Drosophila melanogaster: one gene and its partners. The protein of the gene in region 3 purifies or fractionates together with the protein of the main gene of each other region. This does not show direct contact. Each region holds a gene or a part of one and is shown on either strand. Other genes may lie near its edges. The genes, in order: Tango1, Sec16 and Sar1.

Region 1 (7,561 bases), on a different chromosome or scaffold from region 3:
CAGCAAGTCAACAATGAACCGCGCTCTAAATCAGCGAACGAAGCCTTTGAAAATGCATTTTTATAAAACCGGCAAGGATGACTTGGTGCGTACATAACTGATTTATAAAGTACTGATCCTAAAACTCATACTCTTTCGCAGGTTTCGAAGCACTTTAAACATCCCAAACTTAATGTTTCCTTCAGTGCTACTAGTAGCAGCTATTCACAATTACCTGACGAATGTATTGAATTGGAATTTAAACGCCCCGAGTCGTGATTCACTAAGTTAACTAGCTTAGTTAACTATTATCTAAACGGACCAAAATTGTGCTATTTAATTGATAAGTCTTTCGTCGATAAGCTGGTTATTAAAATGATTGCTGATAATAATATATAAATATAATATAAAAATATAAACCGGTTCTAAGTTCGTGTATTCAATTATTTGTAGTTTTCAATAAATGATGTATAATACATAATCTTACCTCTCAGAAATTAATATCATATTAAAAATGTGCCATGCTGATTATTTAAAAATGTTTGTTCAGAGAAAATGAATATTTTTCAATTCCACAGTAAAAACAGCTCACATTGGATTTGTGTTTGTCATTGCGTTTAATTTGTTTCAATTTTCTTGGATATCATTCACCGCTGAGACAGGAGTTTTCTTAGTTGTTCACGAACTCTCCTGAGATCCCTGTTTTGGGGAATCGGTTTGAGAGGTCGTCCCGACCCGCCCCGATCCCACCGTTCGATAATCGTTGATTAATAAATATATTTGAACTAGTTTTGAGTCTAATATACTTGGTAGGACTTGGTTGCACGGGCACACCCTGCTCCTCATACCTCGCTGTAGGGTCGCGATGTCGCGCTGCGTCCCGACGGAACGGGCGGCGGACTTGGGGGCGGACTGAAGTCAGTCTCCGTGTCATTGTAGTTGTACCGACTGTCCGACGGTGATAGCGAGCGATATGTGCGCGGCGAGTGGCTGTAGGAGCCGCGATGCCGGCGACCCCAGCTGCCGCTGTGCCGTCGACGACGGTCCATGCCCCGGTCGTCCTCCTCATCGTCGTCGTAGTCATCGTAGTCGCTGTAGTCTGAGTAACGCTCTCGATCCCGATCGCCGCGACTCGAGGGCGGCGGAGAGCGCATGCGTCCCAGGGGCGGAGGACGTGCCCCTCCCGCTCCAGTTGGAGGCAGGAATGGCGGCGGCAGACCCATGAACGGTGAGAAGGGTGCCGCCAGGAATGGCAGTGGATTTGGCATGTTCAGCAGTGGTGAACCCGGCAAGGGAAGCGGCGATGGAGCCGTTTTCAGTTCCGCCCCCAGCACGGAAGTTCCGTTGGCGGCGATGGCCTCCATTACGCCTGGATCTCCGCCTACTCCTCCTCCGCCGCTGGCCATTGTGGTCAGCTTACGCCTCAGGCTGGCAGCTTCGGCCAACGCTTCTTCGCAACGGCGCTCCGACTGGCGCGCTGCCAGCCAGGACTCATGAGCTCGGTTCTCCAGCGTGCCCATCTGAGCTTTGTGCGAGGCTATCTGGGCCTCGATCTCGGCACGCAGCTCGTCATTCTGAGATCTAAGGCGAAATGGATTTTAACATTTCTTGAAAGCGATAATGCGCGATTTTGACTTACTTCAGAGTTTGGATTTCGTTCTTCATCAGCGTCTGGGTCTCAACTGTGCTGGCATTCTCTCCCTGGTGCTGCAGCCACTTGGTCTCCTGCAGACTAAGTTCTCTGAAATGGTAATTAAGAGATAAAGACTTTCCTCAAATGTGTTTCTTGATAAACTACTTCTTAAGATCGTTCTCCTTCTCCCTGAAGTAGCCGGATAAGACTTCAAGACGCGTCTGGGCTTCTAGCTTATCGCGCTCTGATTGGTTGAAGTCCTGCTTCAGCTGCTCCACATCTTGACTTGACTGCTGCAGCTGACTCTCCAGACGTTGCTTGTGGGCCTCTTCTTGCTCCACCTTCGACTGCAACTCGACCAGCTTCTTATGGACCGCGTTGAGTTCACCGCGTGTCTTGGCCGAGGTAATCAGCTCTTGGACATTGTGGATCGCATCCTTTCCGACTGCCTTCAGGCAATCTTCGAGAGCTTCGATCTTTGCTAGACTGGTCTGCAGATCGCCATGTTCGCGCTCCCACTTGACAGTCAGCTCAACAATCTGATTCTGCAGCTTTTGCATTTCGTAATTTCTGGCTTCCAGTGCCTTGGCCAATTCCGATTCCGTTTCAGCCTGAATTTCCTGAAGACGAGTTTGCAGCTTAGACTTCTCCATCTCCAACTCGTAGTTGTCCTCTTGTAGCGTCTTCAGCTCGCTGTTGAGCCGAGTCGTGGCCTCCGTAAACGTATACTGCAGTTCGCTGTTCTCCCTACTTTTCTCGGCCAGACTGTTGTTGATTTCGATGATGATCTCTGCAAAAGTTATGGAGTTAGAATCTGCATTGAACAGGAAACTGCTTTGGATACTAAATGGTTAAATAAGTAGTCATCAAAAAGTCACATTAGTATAAGTATTAATCAACGGCGGTTCCTCACTTTCTTGGTCATTAAGCTGTCGCTGCAGTTCGTCGACGGTGCTCATGAAAGCCTCATCGCCATTCTGACCGTTAAGGACTTCGGACAGCATCTTGTTGAGCTCCAGGCCAGCCTCAGCCGCGTTATCCAGATCCTTGTAAAGAGATCCTTGTAAGCGTTTATTTGATTAAATAATATGGACCTACCCTTTCTAATGAGCCAACCTGTTCCTGCAGCTTAGCCTTCTCGTACAGCTCAGATTCAAGTTGCTTCTTGAGATCGGCCACCATGTCGTTTGAGCCGAAGGAATTGTCCTCAATGCTGGCCAACTTTGTTCGCGTAGTCATCAGGTCGTGTTTGATGATCAGGTTCTCCTTGTGGGAGGCCAACAGACTGCGCTCCAAATGGTTCAGCTTCGAAAGAAGCGCTCCCTCCTGACTACTATTGCAGAAGCAGTAGTATGCAAACATGAAGAACAAGGAAGAAATCGCGGCGATAACCACGCAAAGTAAAAGTTGGCTGTGGTCAACCAGCTTGTCGGCCATTACTTCAACAAAATTATCAAGAGATATAGAGCGATGACAGTGCTCATCTTTGGCTTGAAACCGGGCACAATATCCATCCACATCGGCAGGAGCAAAGTCTGGAATATGTAAAAAAAAAGGTATAGTATGTAACAAAACCGGACCGGATATTCTCTCTAATTTCTGAAGAATCGTATGGTAATAATGATTTAGTAAATGAATAAGCATCACCTTCCGCCTTCCTTTGAGAAGGTGGCACTTCAGGCCTTCCTGGATAGAGGATTCTATGCAATTCATCGCTGCTATCTGCTGGATCACTCTGAGGATCCTTTCCGATAAAATTGTTTACGGTGTCGACAATTGTGGCAAAGAGACCAAAGCCTGCGGCGTCCTCCTTGATAGGTACTTCCGACACGGGGCTAGCCGTCGCTGGCAGAGCTACAGGCTCCACGTAACCAACTCCCTCACGATGGTTATCCGTTTGGGATGCTTCTGTGGTCTCCTCCTGGACTGCTGCGTACGGTGATTCGGCGTCAGGCGTTGGAGTTGTATGTGATGCAGTCGATGGATGATTAAAGGCACTTTCTGTATGATGATGGTGCTGCTGATATTGCTCTGGCTGCTGCCTATTGTTGTTATCAACGATTTCGTTGGACTGCGAATCCACAGAGTCATTAAGCTGCTGCATGTTGGCTTCCTGAACGCTCAGTTGTGGCTCCGCTTCCTCACTTGAGCGCTGCAGCTGCTCTGATTCTTCGTGTAACCTTTTCTGTTTCTCGGCTTCTTCGAGTAACCTTTTATTCAGCTCAGCTTCCTCTTGCAATCTCTTCTGCTGCTCCGCTTCCTCTTGTAACCTTTTCTGTTGCTCGGCTTCTTCGAGTAACCTTTTATTCAGCGCAGCTTCCTCTTGCAACCTCTTCTGCTGATCCGCTTCCTCTTGTAAACGCTTTTGCTCCTCCGCCTCTGCAACTAGTCTCTGTTTTTCCTGTTCCTCCTGCAATTGCTTGTAATAATTATTGGGATTCTCAAAGTTCTTCTTTTCAAAGAGGGGCGGCAGACCAACAGGATCTGCTTTCTGTGGTGCCTCTTCAACGACAGGAGCGGGAGTGGTTGAACTGATTACTGACTCAGATGGCGCTTTTATTTCCGCATCAGATTGAGCAACAATAGGTTCGGTAGGGTTAACTGTTGCAGGCTTTGCTTGGATTTTAGCTGAAACCGGAACTATTTCTTCATTAATTTTATCTTCGACAATCGTTCGTGGTGGCTCAGCCACAGTTTCGGTGACCTCCTCAACTGGCAGAGGATCTGACGACTTTAATTCCACGGCTGCATCCAGTACCTGCTTCGGAAATTCCTTCTGATCAATTTGCTCTTCGAGTGCCGTCACATTTAAGGTCTCAGTGGGTAAGGAAGAATCTTCCTGCTTGGAGACTTCCATTTCTGCATGCTTTTCTTTAGTCTCATCCTTTGAATCCTCCACTTTATCTGTTTTCTTCAGTTGCGCGACCGAAAGTGGTTTCAGTTCAATCGATTCGTTAATTGATTTGTTATCGTTTGCTATCTCTACGATCGATTCGTTATCTTGACTACCTTGTTGGGAGTCGTCATCTGTCTCGTCATCCCCGTAATCGAAATCGTCAGCGTCTTCCAGTTCAGCGTTGATAGCCTGGGGCAGTGGGGGAGGTTTCTCAGCTTCTGTGGCAGGTTGCTGTGCTTTTGGCTCTTCCTGCAATTTAATGGCCTCCGAATTTAATGCCTGTGGCTCTTTCGTATCAACAACTGTCGAGTCGAGATTTGTTGCTTCTTGGGGGTCTGCTGCCGTCTCTGGAACAATGCTACCTTCCGTTGTAGCTGCAATGGCCTCCAGGGGAAGCTCAGTTCCTTCTATAACCTGCACTTGGGCCTTGGAAGCCGCAGTAGGATCAGGAACCTGCTGATCCTGCAGCTTGTCGTGCTCAACCACTATTGAATCAACGGCTATCTCAAGTGGTGACGTTGTAGTCGTTGCCAGATCATCGGTTGACTCAGAGGCGTTAAGAACAGGCTGCACTGTCGTCTCGACGCTCTGAACTGGTGTCTCCACTGACTGCACTGGACTACCAGGTCCCACCACTGGCACCTCGTACAATAGATCCTTATCCCGGACGAGGATCTTCTTTTCCATGATAAAGTCCTTATTGGCATAGCCGCGCCGCCCATTGATGTCCACACCCCACAGTTGCATATTGGAACCGGCGCTCTTGGACAGGACGCGGATGGGGGAGTTGATTTTGAAGGATATCAGCCCCTCACCACCAATGGCGTAGGTGATTTTGGCAATGCCCATCGAAATGATTTCTGCAAGCATAAACCAGACAAACGCAAAATTAATTATGCAATTTTAAGAGACATGGCTGTGCCGGAGGTCCAAGGCTGACTTGTCTGGCCATAGATTACAACTTACGTTCACATTTCGGGTCGGCGCACAGTCGCTTGTCGGAGAGAGTCGCAGCCCACGTCAAAGTTGGAAGACAGCAGATCAACAGGCCCAGGACCAGGGCCAAATCACTCAGCTGGGGCTGCATTGTTGCTTTCTCGTTGGTCAGCCGCATTTTGCATTGTTTTCGGGGCGCAGTGGTCGTGTGAAATCAACTTATTTCGCTGCAGCTACTAATTTTTTGTGTATAAAAATGGGTTCACTTTCAGCTGAGTTGGCTTTTCATTCGTGTGACCGTACTGGGTGCGCCAAGGAATGCTGTGTGGCCTCAGAAAAATACCGAAATAGGAAAGGGGCATTTCGGGTCTGTTTCAACTATTCCACAGATATGATTTATTATCAAATCTTATTGCTGTATTTAATGGCCTTTGAAATTTATATGTTTTAAATACATTCTGTTTAAGTTATCTGAATTCTAGTTCACAGTATCTGCTATCTTTTTCGACTCAGTGCGAATGCCATATACTATGCGCGCCAGATAGCGTTGTGCGAAATAACTCAGATATAGAGAACTTGGAGCAGTTGGTAACACTGGCCAGAGCTCGTAAATTGTTTCGCCAGTTTCGCGGCTCCATCGGAGGAAATTTTGTAAACCCAGTAACTAAATTTGAGTGCGAAGTAAGCCTCTTCACTTTGAATAATCCTAATGCTCGGTTTCGGAACGCTCTGAGTGCTGCAGTGGGTGGCAAACGACAGGACTATGTGCGTGTGTGTGGCTGGAAAACTTCAGCAGTGACCTTGAAAATTGAAGTTTGTTTTTTTTTTCCTTTATGCACTTCACCCGAAAATGTAACGCGCAAAATTTGGGCTAGCTTTTTAGAAAAAAGTCGCCGGTGTCCAACAAAGTACTCAGTGAAAGCTGGCGTATTGGATTCCAATTTATTATTACCTTACGAAGTGTACGGAAAAAGGTTTCCTCTGACATCATATTGTGGAATTCAGAGAGCGATTAAGAGAGCAGCGGATAACTTTGTGTGATATGCCCGATAATGTAGCCTTAAAACCAATAACTTGTGCAGTTTATAATTAAGATGCTAATTTAAGTGAAAATCCGGGAGCATGTGTACAGAAACTTATTGTTTTGATGTTGTATGTTGCTTGCGATTTAAGGGAGTGTGAGCGAGAGGGTGCGTGAAAAGAGCACACGTGGAGGGGTTGCCAGATCGTCGGCAGAGTTTAAAATGGCTTACACGTCGCCAATTCAAAAAATTTTTAAAGAACTAAAACTATAATAGGGCTATTATTTTTAGCTCAGTTTTAATTCAATCACTTTTATTAATTATAATAATCAATGTCCAGTTATTGGAAAAACGGTCTTGCTTCAGAATATGCTTGTTTTGAAATTATTGGTGTTAACGTATTTCGATCGTAATTCGTAATTTCATGAAATTCAAGAATTCTAACTTAGCATAAACAGTCCTTTATCACAAACCTGCGTGCGGGCAGTCTGGCAACACCGCCCGTTGGACACAGCATGAAAATGCGCAACTCAGTTTCTATTTCTATCTTTCGCATTTTCAACGTCTTTGTGATCGGTTGTTGTTGGGTCGCGGATGCCTAATGGTCGATAGCTGCACGCTATGCTGAATGGAGCGCGGTTCTGTTAAATGCCCTATAAAACGCCACATAAACTGATTGGCTGCACAAAGAGTAATCCTTCGCCAAAAGTTGTATAACAAAAAAAAGAAGAGATTTGGGTGCGTGGAAACAAAGTGCGCCAAGCCTTGGTGCGTAAAATCAAATACAAATATCTTGACCGAAACTGATAAAAGTGGAGAGCAAAAGAAACACGGAAATCAAAGAAAAACTTCGCAAAAAACATTAACAACTCAGTAGTCCTCCGACATGCGTGACGTAATTTGTGTATTTATTCTAAAACAAAATTCGAGGAAAAGTGAGCAGTAAGAGCGTGCAATTGTTTGTCCCTTTCGACTGCCTGTGTAATTACCAATTGCAATTTGCCTTTTAATTTGAGTTTTGCATGCAACAGGGCGCGTGTTATTCCCACAAAAATACACACTCACACTTGCACGCAGTACAGCCGCACACACACC
Region 2 (5,065 bases), on a different chromosome or scaffold from region 3:
ACATTAAGTGGTGGCTGCTCTGTGGCTCCAGTGACCTGGCGTTGCTGCTGCGAATCCAACTCCGGTTGGCCCAAAACCAGACGAGACAGTCCTGGTGGTGGCAGCAGGCCCGCATCCTGATCCGCTTCACCTTCGCCCAGCTGCTCGGACAGGTGGCTGGTCTGCAAGTACTGGGCCCGTTCGTCATTTGGCGCGGACAAAACCTCCTGATTGTCCGGTTCCAAATGCGCAAAAGCCTGTGGAACAGCCGGTGATGCATAGAGCGATGCGTTAGGTACAGGAATGGGTGCAGGAATAGGTGCACTTAGTGGAGTTCCAAGTGAAGCCTCAACAGGTGGCGCCGCAATTAAGTTGAAACCCTCTCCATGAGCTTCTGCTGGCATACCAAAGAGCTGATCTGCTGGTGGCGGAATTGGTGCTACTGGTGCCACAGGAGCAATTGCAGCAGCAGGAGCTGGAGGCGATGGAGCTCCTGCTGCAGGATCTGCCATTATGTTCACTCGCTTATTTAGGCCCGTGGAACGCTTGAAGGGATTGGAACCAGACGATGGAACTATGCTAGGTGGCAGTGCGGCCGGTGGTGCAATAGTTGTAGCGTCCGCTGGCGGTGCTCCTACTGGTGGTGCTCCCACTGGTGGTGCTCCTACTCCAATGATGGGTGCTGGAGAAGCTCCTACTAAAGCGGAAGGTGCTGGCGAAGCTCCTACTCCTGCAAGATGTGCTGGTGGAGCTCCTATACCGGCGAGATGTGCTGGCGGAGCTACTACTCCAGTGGGAGGTGCTGGTGAAGCTCCTACTCCTGCGCTATGTGCTGAAGATGCTCCAACAGCATAGATTGGCGATCCCACAGCAGTCATTTGTGCAGAGAAGGAAGTCAGTGATGTTGGTGGTGGTGCTGCAGTTGGTGGTTGGTTTTGGAAAGCCTGGGGAGGCACAATGGCATCCAGTTCGGGTTCCTGCCCCAGTTCCGGCGGCGATTGTGGCTGCTGGTGCAGCAAAGGTATCGATTGCTGATTCAATGGCTGTTGTTGCAAGGACGTTGACTGCGGATTGGCTGGTGGCGGCAACTCTCCATTGTTATTGACATTATTGCTAGTGGCAAACGCCTGCCAACTGCCTTGCGAGGATTGAACATTGAAGGAATCCTCCAGCAGTTGTCCGGTTGGCTCTAACAAGCCATCGGTGCCGTTGCTATTATTGTTGTTGCTATTGTCGTTCCAATCGCCCCAATCACCCCAGCCATCGCTCCGGCCGCCACCACCACCTCCTCCGCTATTATTGTTGTCAAACGAGTCCAGAGCTGGTTCCGCTGGAGCCGGGACTTGTGGCTGCTGCTGAGTGGGATAATACAGTTGCTGCTGGATTGTATGTTGCTGCTGCGTAGGCTGTTGCTGCTGTGGTGGCAGTTGCTGCTGCGGTGGCAGTTGCTGCTGCTGCATAGGATGTTGCTGCTGCTGTCCCGGAAAGTAGTTATTGTAGTTCAGGGATTGTGGCTGCTGCTGCTGTTGATGCTGATCCTCTGGCCAATAATTTGGCTGATGTTGCTGGAACATTTGGCTGGCATAGACTTGCTGCTGCTGCTGCTGGGCAGGAAGAGTTTGCTGCTGTTGGGGCATTGCATGTTGCTGCTGTGGAGTAGGATGTTGCTGCGGCGCCTGTTGCTGCTGCTGCTGATGCGGTGGCAGCCAGGGCGCATTATTGTGCAACATTTTGGATCTGAACAAAGAAAAACAAAAGGATGTCAACTTTTTAACTCAAAAATGAATGCCTACTTATTTCTACAGAAATCACGTTAATATCCTGGTAAATCGTCAATTTAAATATCTTTTTAAGGTGTTTTCAGGTCCCTAGAGATATCTTTACCCGCAATTTGAACAGGCTTATTTTCCAAAAGAGATATTCAACCGAAAAAAGGGTTTAAAGGTATGGTATGGTAACGAAAAAACTTAATATTAAAGTGTTCGTTTCTTCGCCCAAGATATTTAAAAGGTTTCTAGGTGTTATAAGGAGTTTTCCGGGGAGATTGCAGGGGGTGGTTGCTGGATTTTGTGGGGCAGTTCAATGAACCAAACCAGTTTTGATGGAAAATTACCCGTTTTCTTGGATTTTCCTTAATGACACTTGGAAACCGTGAAGAGTGATGGAAAATACGCAATCGAATACTGAACAAAATAGAATTTAGGGTATATTATAGAGCTCACAATGAGCGGAAAAGCAAAAGTTAAAAGTTTACGTGGACGTTTGCCATATTTTGCCCCTTCTCCCTCCCACACTCTTCTGGTCTTCTTCTTCGTTTTGTTACCACCGTTTCATTGCTCTCTTACTTTTGTTGTTGTTCTCTTGACGCAGCAGGTTTTTTGTTTTACCTATTTTTTAAGCCGCTGATAATTTGTGCAGTTGATTTTTCGAATCTGACCTTAAATATACTTTTTTCATTTCTTTTTTTTTTATTTTTAAATGTTTTTTTTACCACTTCGCAAGTCAAAAGTGAAAACACTCTCTTGAAAAAAAAAATTGGAGCAGCGGTGAGGGAGAGAAAGAGACAGCACTCTTTTTTCTTTCTCTTGGCGAAAAAGAACCATACGCAGGGTTGCAATCCGGTGTTTTTTTGCGAATTTTGAGCACACAATCGCTTTTACTAGCCACAATAAACTAAAGAAAACACTTTTCAGGTGGCTTTGTCAATTATCTTTTATAAAAATAAAACACAGCCTAATATTACGAGAGAGAGAGAGTAAACACACATTCGCAGGCAGGTAGGTTGCACAAACACACATACAGCTCTCCTTTTTCTCTTCTAATTAGCTTACGCTGCACACTGACTTACACAAATCGCTTGTTTATTTACACGCACTCGGTACGGCACTTTTTTCGGCTGTACTTAACTAAAAATATTATACAAGTTACTGGTTTGCTGACGTTCTTGGGAGTTAAACAATTAAATATGAAATTTTTTCAATCCGAACGCAGCAATGAAATCAAATGCCAACTCGACTTTCGTGGTGTTGCCAGACTGCCAGCAGATAGAGATGACACTAAACAGTTGGATTGGTGTGACAGGACAGTGGTCACTTAAAAAATCATATATTCCTACATTTTAAATATTTTGTATTAATATAAATGTATAAATCTTTTCAATCGATAAATCAATTAAACAAATTAAATCAATTCCACATTTCTTGCTCGTATCCTATAAAACTTATAATTTTTTGCTGCATTGGAAACTAGACTTCGATACTCATTTAAAGTAATAAATGGACAAATGCAAGTTTTTAAAATAAGTCTATTTTTTCTGTTGGTTTTTATTATTGATCTTCAGACTTTTCATGTAGAATCATTATTAAAAGGGGATTCAAAATATTGAACAGGAAAATATCAGCAATGCCCCTTTAACGACTCGCCGAACAATCGATAGCTTACAGTTGCCCATCGCTAGCCATGCCTGTGCGTCTATCGCCAGGTGATGCGTTAACGCTTGCGTATTTTGTTGATATTTGCAAGCCACGCGAGAAGAGATGCTGCGCCTACTCGTGTCCAATTGCGGCAGGAGCAGCGACATATTTAGGTAGAGTAGGGGTCACCATCGCGGGCGAGGTTCTGGGCCGCCGACGCACGAGGATCTGCTACGGCCAGCAGTGAATTGGGGAAACAACGACTCCCCCTCGCCCTCACTCCGGTTATGTCATCAATCAGCCAACCTATTATTAACCGCCTATTTCGCTTTGTTTAGTCGCCACCTGCTGCAGCCCACGCAGCAGCCACTGCCACGCCTCCAGAATGCCGCCCGCCTGATGCGCCAACATTTGCGTGGAACGAACGCTCCCCAACCGCCCGCGATACCGCCCACAAATGCCAGCCGCCTGCTGCAGACGACACGCCTGCTTGTGTGGGGCGGTGGTAGTTTAGCTATCGGTCTGGGCGCCCGTTCCTGGTGGGCGGGGCATCGCGGAGCGATCGTTCATTGCGAAGGCAGCCGGCTGGCCATTCGAAAGGAGGAGGAGGAGGAGGACACTGCGTCGGAGCAGCACTTCGACTGGAAGCGTTTGTGGACCTACTTGGAGCCACATCTCTGGGAGCTGATCGGGGCCGTATGCGTGAGTTCTTGGATCACAAAAAGCCCACGAACAGGTGTAGCATTTGTCAAAATATTTAGCTAATTTCATTTGCAGGCCGCCCTGATAGTGGCTTATATCAACATACGCATCCCAAATCTTCTCGGTGACCTGGTAAACACACTGGCCAGATATGCCAACACGTACGTGATGGATCCGATTAACAACTCGTTCGTAAAGGACGTGAGCAAACCGGCCAGCAATCTGCTGAGCCTATACATGCTGCAATCTGGTTTCACCTTTATGTACATCTACCTGTTGAGCCGCGTCGGTGAGCAGATGGCAGCCAAGATGCGGCAGGATCTGTTCACGCAGATTGTCGTCCAGGACATCGCATTCTTCGATGAGAATCGAACGGGCGAGCTGGTCAATCGACTAACCGCCGATGTACAGGACTTCAAGACCTCGTTCAAGCAGTTCGTCTCCCAGGGACTGCGAAGTGCTGCCCAGCTGATTGGCGGCAGTATATCGCTCTTCATGATTTCACCGCACATGGCCGCCATTGCGCTGGCCAGCGTTCCGTGCGTGGTTATGTTCATGACGTATTTGGGCAAGAAACTGCGCTCTCTAAGCAAAAGCTCACAGGCGCAGGCGGAACGAGCGACGGGTGTCTGCGAGGAGGCGCTGTCCAACATCCGAACGGTTAGATCCAGTGCCTGTGAATACCGCGAGATGCAGCTGTTCGAGGCGGAGACCAATGAGGCGGCTCGCCTGGCGCAGAAACTCGGCTACGGCATCGCAATCTTCCAGGGCCTGACCAACTTCTTCCTCAATACACTAGTCCTATCTACGCTCTTTATGGGCGGCCACCTCATGTCTACGGAGAGTCTGTCGCCGGGTGCTCTGATGGCCTTCCTGGTCGCTTCGCAGGGTGTGCAGCGATCCCTTGCCCAGGGATCCATCCTGCTGGGCACCATGATCAGAGGCATGTCGGCCGGCAGTCGAGTCTTCGA
Region 3 (6,643 bases):
CGGAGGAGGAGGAGAGCGACGATGGCGGCGATTCCAACACGGACAGCGGCCAGGAGAGTCTGACGGCCAAGAAGAAAAAGAAGCGGCGCATGGCTGGCGGCGGCTCCGGGTCCGGCTCCATGGGCGGATCATCGCGTTCCTGATCCAGGGAGCGGGCCAAGCGCAAGGGCTTGCTCATGCGCCTCTTTCAACGCCAACTGATGCTGCTGAGAGGACTGCCCCGCCGCTGCCGGCTCAGTTAGCACTGAGGTCGCGATCATACTCTGCAGAGTTTTGTGTATTTTTCTACTTGGACCAGCATGTTTGCAGCTCCTGGATCCCGTGCTCGCCCTCATCGAATGCCTGCTCCCTGATTTCAATAGATGCTCCGGACGTGACTCATTAGCGTAAACCCTAAATGCAAATAAATAAATGAATCCAATATGTTTGTACATCGCTGGGTTTCATTCAAGCTCGGCACATAAATCCAATGCAAAACAACAATAGTCACCAATTTATGTATTTTACAAAATTACTTTTCTCCGTTTTATTTAGAATTCTGTCTGCAAACAAAAATGCTTTTTTATATAAATTGCTTTCCCTTTCGTATTGTATAAAAGAAACAAAGTACATCGATGACATGCAACTTAAAATTTTTAGCTAAACTAAGGTGTACCATTTATCGGAGGTCGAATCCTTATAGGGATGTACATAATGTTTTGCGGCCAAAGTAAACTATTTAGGAAATCAATAGCGACATTTACAATTCATAAACTTGAAATAAAGGTAGGTGGCTACATTTTATTGGCGAAACAGCGTTCGTTGAAAGCACATGCTCTTAAATAAATCACCTTTAATTTGCTATAATTTGTTACTCATAATTATTATTAAAAGTTTCCCTTGCGCACTCCGCGCATCCTTCAGCTCCTTACAATGTATCCCGATGTTCCAGATAGAAAAGTTGTCTTCACTTTGATGTTGTGTTCTGTTTTTCCCGCGATTTCTTGTGTGTTACAGATGTACATTGTATGGTTTTCTGTTTTTTTTTTTTTATTATTATGAAATATTTGTAATTGTTTTGTATAAATTAGAAATTGCGCACGCAGCTTCGTTTTGCTTAAGGTCTGACGGTTTGAATTGGGCTGGGTTCACATCCCTTGGGTTCTGTTCTTTCTGCGGTCTCTAATCATTTTTGGAAATTTTGTAGCCAAGTTTTCGGTTTTGAGTGTTGAGTGGTGTTCTTGAAAATATGGTGCTGGTGGTGGTTGCTAATGCTGACTTAATCGATATACTGCGCCAGCCAACGGAAACCCTCGCCGTAGCCCTGTCGCTTCAGCACGGAGCACATGAACAATTCCAGAGGACGGCCGGGCAAATCGGCGCGTGCAACTTTGCCCTGCAAGTCAAATGGATATCAATTATGTAGCAGGAGTAAGGAGGGAGGGAGGGAGGGAGGTGGTTTTGGTGCTCACCTTGCCGGTTGTTAGCTGATACAGTCCGAACACGTTTCTCAGCTCATCCTCGCTAGCCGCGCCGGGCTTATCGATTTTGTTGCCCAATATGAGCACGGGGCAGTTGGACAGCGCCTCATCCGTGAGCAGCGAATCCAGCTCGTTTTTGCTCTCCTGGAAGCGGCCACGGTCCCAGGCGTCTATTAAGAAAACGATGGCGTCCACAGCAGGGAAGTAGTCCTTCCAGACGCGTCGTGCTGCAGAAATAAGTAGATATGTCTCATAAATACAAAAGCAGCAGTTAGTCTTTAGATGGGTTAGTCTTCCGATTTTTGAATCAAGATTTGCAAGGGCACCTTAGTAGTCGCTGCTGTTGACCAACAATCTGTAATTTATATAACATCGCTAGAATAACAAAGCGCAAGTCACTGATATCAGGCACAAATCTGATATCTTTCCGCCGCTAAGAACCTTTCTACTTTAGTGTACCTAGTAGTTCCGAAGCGAAAACGATCGTCACGATGACGAGCTGCCTTAAAATGAGTGCTAGAGCTTCGTTATCAAAACAACTGGATTTCACGATGTTTGATCACTTTTCATAATGTTCATATTTATATACATATATCAACTGCATGTATGCGAGTTTTTCGTTTCTGTTTGTTATCTACATAGAGAATGTTTGCCTTCATAATATTAATAATAAATACGTCGCCTATATGTGCACAGTGGTAAGGAAGATAGTATTTGCGAAAATCAACAAGACACTAATTGCTTTCTAAACATAAATGAACATATTGATTGTATGCAATGGGTTAAATATTCTAGTATTCTGAGGTCTTCATAATCACAGTTGAGATAAGATGATAATTGAGATCTCTGGATGAGCTGCTTGTGACCACTGTGGTGGCATTGCTTCGAGTGTGTGGCGCTGATTGATCGCAACAAATGCTACGAGTGTAAGACGCACTGGCTGTATGGGTGACCTGATGCGCTATATTTCATGCTGATTGTCGTGGATCTGGCGGCTGCGCTTGCTTAGCCCTGCGATATTTGCATACTGGTCTATATTTAGTCGTGGGCACGTACGGAAAATAGCAACGATTTGGATGCACATTCACATTCCCCTGAGCTCTGGTCAAGATTAGGCACTTACCCTGAGTGTGGCCACCCAAGTCGAATGTAGTGAAGCGCATGTTGCCGATGGACAGCTCCTCGGATGCTGCAAGTCAATCATATTAGTTAATTAAAGTCACACACATAACCACTATTTAGTCCATGAAGGAAACTCACTTGGATGCAGTGTGGGCACATGCTGCGCCAGCTTATCATCTTTGAGCATATGCAAGAGTGTGGTTTTGCCAGCATTATCCAGGCCCAGGAACAATAATTTGCCAGACTTTTTCCACAGACCTGAAAACGAGAAAGTGTGTTGAATAGCCTTTTGACTTACGCGTCATCAATTAATATACGCAGCTAAACTAACACTAGTGGCGGCTCACTTGTGTTTGCCCAGCCACAGACAGCCGAATATACATTTGAGGTCGAGACAATAGCTCTTGGACTTCGGGCTAATTATTACCTTTGCTACCCAAAATGTTCGGCTATCATTAACCTGATTAAAGATCAAGCTATAACAAAAATGCGCTTATAACAACTGCTATCAGTTTGGCCTGCACTGTAGAACAGTACTTTTCGTATGGAATAATTTTAACTTTTAGCATTACAAAGCAAATAAAAGTGTAGCAGCCATCTGGAAGCGAGGAAAACCCTATCAAAAATGTCTGCTTAAATAATTGTGGCTGAAGAGTACATGGCTATGCAATCAAAATACCTTTTACAGAAGTGTATATTGTATATGCACCCTAGAGTAATGCATATTCAACGCGCATTTGTTGTGATAGAGAGACCTAATGGAAAGTTATAAGCTTTCGACACCTTATAGACACAGTTTAACCTCTAGATTTCGAGATAATCGCACGTTTAGAGCTATCACCACGACCTCCGCTGTACAGCCGTCGAATTTGGGTTTCTTTTGTGCGGCTGCCTTGTTGGCACTCGTTCAAGAAACGCCGCCCCAAGGCACAAGGTCGGCAATGGCGACGTTGCTTACCCAGGTATCCCAGCACTCCGGTGAACCAGTCCCAGATGAACATCCTGATGGTTTCGTGTGGCTATCGGTTGCGGGTGATTGGCTCCAAGAGCAGCTTGTGTGTGTTTATTGTGGGGGGAAGAGAGCTGCTGGGCTAGACGGCTGCCGGATCGAAAAGAGATATGGCATGGATAATGGGTTAGTGCGCATTTCGACTCAAGTTCAATGTCCAGCCACAGAAACACAATAAGAACAACAGCAGCGGCAGCAACAGCGGCTTGGTGTATAGGAAATCAATTTTACGGCGGCTCAACTTCCGGAACCTTGACACACATACAACAACACGCACACTCGAGCGGCGGGGACCTTGCGGATATAAGGAAGCAAATTCCTCCTGGCGGCGAAACATTCACTTGGGCCCATTATTTAGTTAATTAGGTTAAAACCTGTTCTTTGTCAACTGGGCAGCACTTTCTTTATTTCATTCTTTCTCTGCCTCCTGCCCTCTCGCTCGCTCACTGTCTGTGTGTGTGTGTGAGTGGCACTGGGTGTGCGCGTGTGTGTGCGTGTGCTGCCTGTCTGTGTGCAACTACGTGGTAACATGCATTATATTATACTTTATAATATCATTTCACGTTGGAGCACATTTCGTAATCACACTTTGGACGGCAGGTGCACGCCGATCTAAGCCGCACCCTCGAAAAAAGCATAAAAAGGGCGCAGACATCCGGACTTCCGATTCGAATTCGAATTGAGATTCGGATTTTGCACTACGTGGACGCATTTCGGAATTTAACTGCCCGCGGCTGCGGGTAGCTTGCGTTTGATATGGACTTTTACTTGCGCACTTGCTGTTGCCGCCGCGCGTTCGTATCGGTATTGGCGGCTGGTTACCGTGCGTCTGCTGTGTGTATTAATTGTCAACCTAATTCGCTTTTTCTACCTCACGTTTTTATTGGAGTCAGTTCAGTTTTTTTTAATCATAAGCCCCAGTGTGACCAATAAGCGAAAGCTGTGAAATATCGATGTTTGTTTCGTACCATCGATTTTGGGGGTAGCACGAGTAATCGATGTTTTGGTGGATAACTCTGCTAGAGCGAAGCGAGCCAAATCAAGAGTGGTTGTTGTACTCGCTAGCGATAGCTGTACAGCCCTGGTCTTTTGACTCAATCTGGCAGCCCTACCGCAAGGTGGCAACTCCACTACATGCGCGGGCAATTCCAATTCAAATGAATGAATGTATAAATGCATTCATAATGTTGCCAAACTATTTACACGCATTTAATGTTATATCGATTAGAGAATATGCAAAATATTATAAATGTTTAATTATCGTTTTATTGCATTTTTATGTTATTTGTAATAAGATGTTAATACAGATGTTATCTACAGATAACATCTTAAAGAATATAAAGTGTCGAAACAGTTGCTTGAAATGCAATAATGTAATTTTTTATATTTAAAAATATGTACATTTGTTCTCTTATTACATAGAAGAACATATACAAAATGTACAAATAATATCGTTTTGGGTAAAATGTAATTCTCTTGAAATTCAAACTAAAATTCAATCGACCTTCCGCATCTGCTGCAGGATGATGTCCTCCACCTGGACGCCATCGGGAGTGTTCAGCGCATACAACACGGCCTTGGCCACATCCCTTGCCTGCAGTTTGGGCAGCTCGGCTACCGCCTGCGAGTAAACACTAAGGAAATCCGTGTCTACCATGCCCGGGCAAATGCTCTGCAATGGAGGGATAAAAATGGAGAGGGTAACCAATGAGCAGACGCGTCATGTTTGCCGCATTTCCCGAGGATTAAGATGGAGGATGAGGCGCGCCATGTATGCACTGCATTTAACTTACCGTTAATTTAATATTTAATTTGAGAAAATGTATTTCCTGGCGCACCGTTTGGCAGAGGGCCGTAATTGCATGCTTCGTGGCCGGATAAACGCTGAATAAGGGCACCGGCACTTCCGGAATCCGATGGCCAAGCACGCTGTTGTCAAATGTTGTCCATACACATGTCCAGAGCAGAGCGAAGGAGGAGGCGGAGGAGTAGCATGAGCATCGTCCACATGCCAAGGTATGGCGGTGCGTCGGGGATGGAAAATAAAGACAAAGCGGGGTCACAAACGGCGGGTGTGCGTGGGTAAATAAAGTCAACACAACGGATTTCAAGCACTTAAAACGGCAACAAAAAACAAGTCGCCGTCGAACACCTACGGAAAATGATGGTCAGCAGCTGACGGGACATTTTTGCGTGCATTTTATGCAAACATTGCGTAAACTTCTTTTAATTTTACCCCCACACCTGACGAAAAAGCAAGAAAAGACTTAAAAACTTGTGCTATAATATTTTGATTGAATGCGAAATTTTTGGAAAAATAAGGGAATTATAAGTTACAACTAGTTTTTATATTTGCTACAAGATATTTAATTTAATTAAACTGATATTTTTATGAAGGCATTCATTCGAGTATCCTTTTTTTCGAGTGCATTTGGAAGAGCACGGGGTGGTACTTACGGCTCTGAGCCGGGGGCATTAAATGCAAACAATTGCCAACGTTGCTGCAGATGCTGGGCGGCCGGCATACCCTTGCAGTTTTTAATTAATTAAGTCTTAATATTATTGCACTGACATTAAGCGAAATGCATATGGACGACCGCCCAACTTCCACTGCCCACCTGTCAAGCCCCTTGACACACACACAGACACAGGCCCCCCGAAACGTCACATGCTCATTAGCAACGCCTCGGCTACGTTTCCAGAACGGAATTCTCTTTGACTCGCAACGCCGCCAAATAAATACATTTTCTCATTAATTAACGTTTGCAAAGTTCGAAGTCTCAGTTTCCACTGCCCTTTCCCGCTTTCCTTGCCTGTCCGCATTGCTCAATTGTATTCGATTGCGGACAATACGCTTGTGTCCGCTGCTCATTATGCCGGAAAAATGCGTATGAAAATTCCGGGAAATGCGTATTTACGGTGTGTCTTTAATGCACTTCGATGATGCACTTTCCGATTGCGTGGTAAAAAGTGGTAGGAATGTGGAGGTTACTCGAGAGCATATTAAAATGGTTCGTTAAGGTTTCCCTATGGTAAGTCTACATATCATGTT

Evidence for each region.
Region 1: the proteins of Sar1 (region 3) and Tango1 purify together in Drosophila melanogaster (affinity purification with western blotting, with the first as the bait; one study listed by BioGRID). This does not show direct contact.
Region 2: the proteins of Sar1 (region 3) and Sec16 purify together in Drosophila melanogaster (affinity purification with western blotting, with the first as the bait; one study listed by BioGRID). This does not show direct contact.

What each region holds. Positions count from the first base shown.
Region 1 is NT_033779.5:6,647,594-6,655,154, reverse strand, and holds Tango1 (transport and golgi organization 1), read right to left. Parts: upstream 5,768-7,561; 5' UTR 5,623-5,767; coding exon 5,475-5,622; intron 5,369-5,474; coding exon 3,260-5,368; intron 3,148-3,259; coding exon 2,711-3,147; intron 2,659-2,710; coding exon 2,526-2,658; intron 2,403-2,525; coding exon 1,778-2,402; intron 1,721-1,777; coding exon 1,619-1,720; intron 1,561-1,618; coding exon 822-1,560; 3' UTR 581-821; downstream 1-580. Other genes in the region: CG31633 (uncharacterized protein), read left to right, coding at 1-85, 142-258. UniProt on the Drosophila melanogaster protein: Required for protein secretion. May participate in cargo loading by binding to COPII coat subunits and guiding SH3-bound proteins into a growing carrier.
Region 2 is NC_004354.4:12,593,997-12,599,061, reverse strand, and holds the start of Sec16 (secretory 16), read right to left. Parts: upstream 3,016-5,065; 5' UTR 2,828-3,015; intron 2,387-2,827; exon of another isoform or gene 2,325-2,386; intron 2,162-2,324; exon of another isoform or gene 2,093-2,161; intron 1,717-2,092; 5' UTR 1,710-1,716; coding exon 1-1,709. Other genes in the region: CG1824 (uncharacterized protein), read left to right, coding at 3,516-3,565, 3,731-4,094, 4,170-5,065.
Region 3 is NT_033777.3:22,354,569-22,361,211, reverse strand, and holds Sar1 (Secretion-associated Ras-related 1), read right to left. Parts: upstream 4,528-6,643; 5' UTR 4,414-4,527; exon of another isoform or gene 4,165-4,413; intron 3,696-4,164; exon of another isoform or gene 3,682-3,695; 5' UTR 3,584-3,681; coding exon 3,541-3,583; intron 2,841-3,540; coding exon 2,721-2,840; intron 2,650-2,720; coding exon 2,584-2,649; intron 1,688-2,583; coding exon 1,452-1,687; intron 1,376-1,451; coding exon 1,259-1,375; 3' UTR 501-1,258; downstream 1-500. Other genes in the region: JMJD6 (jumonji domain containing 6), read left to right, coding at 1-143; rdhB (retinol dehydrogenase B), read right to left, coding at 5,087-5,263, 5,385-5,520.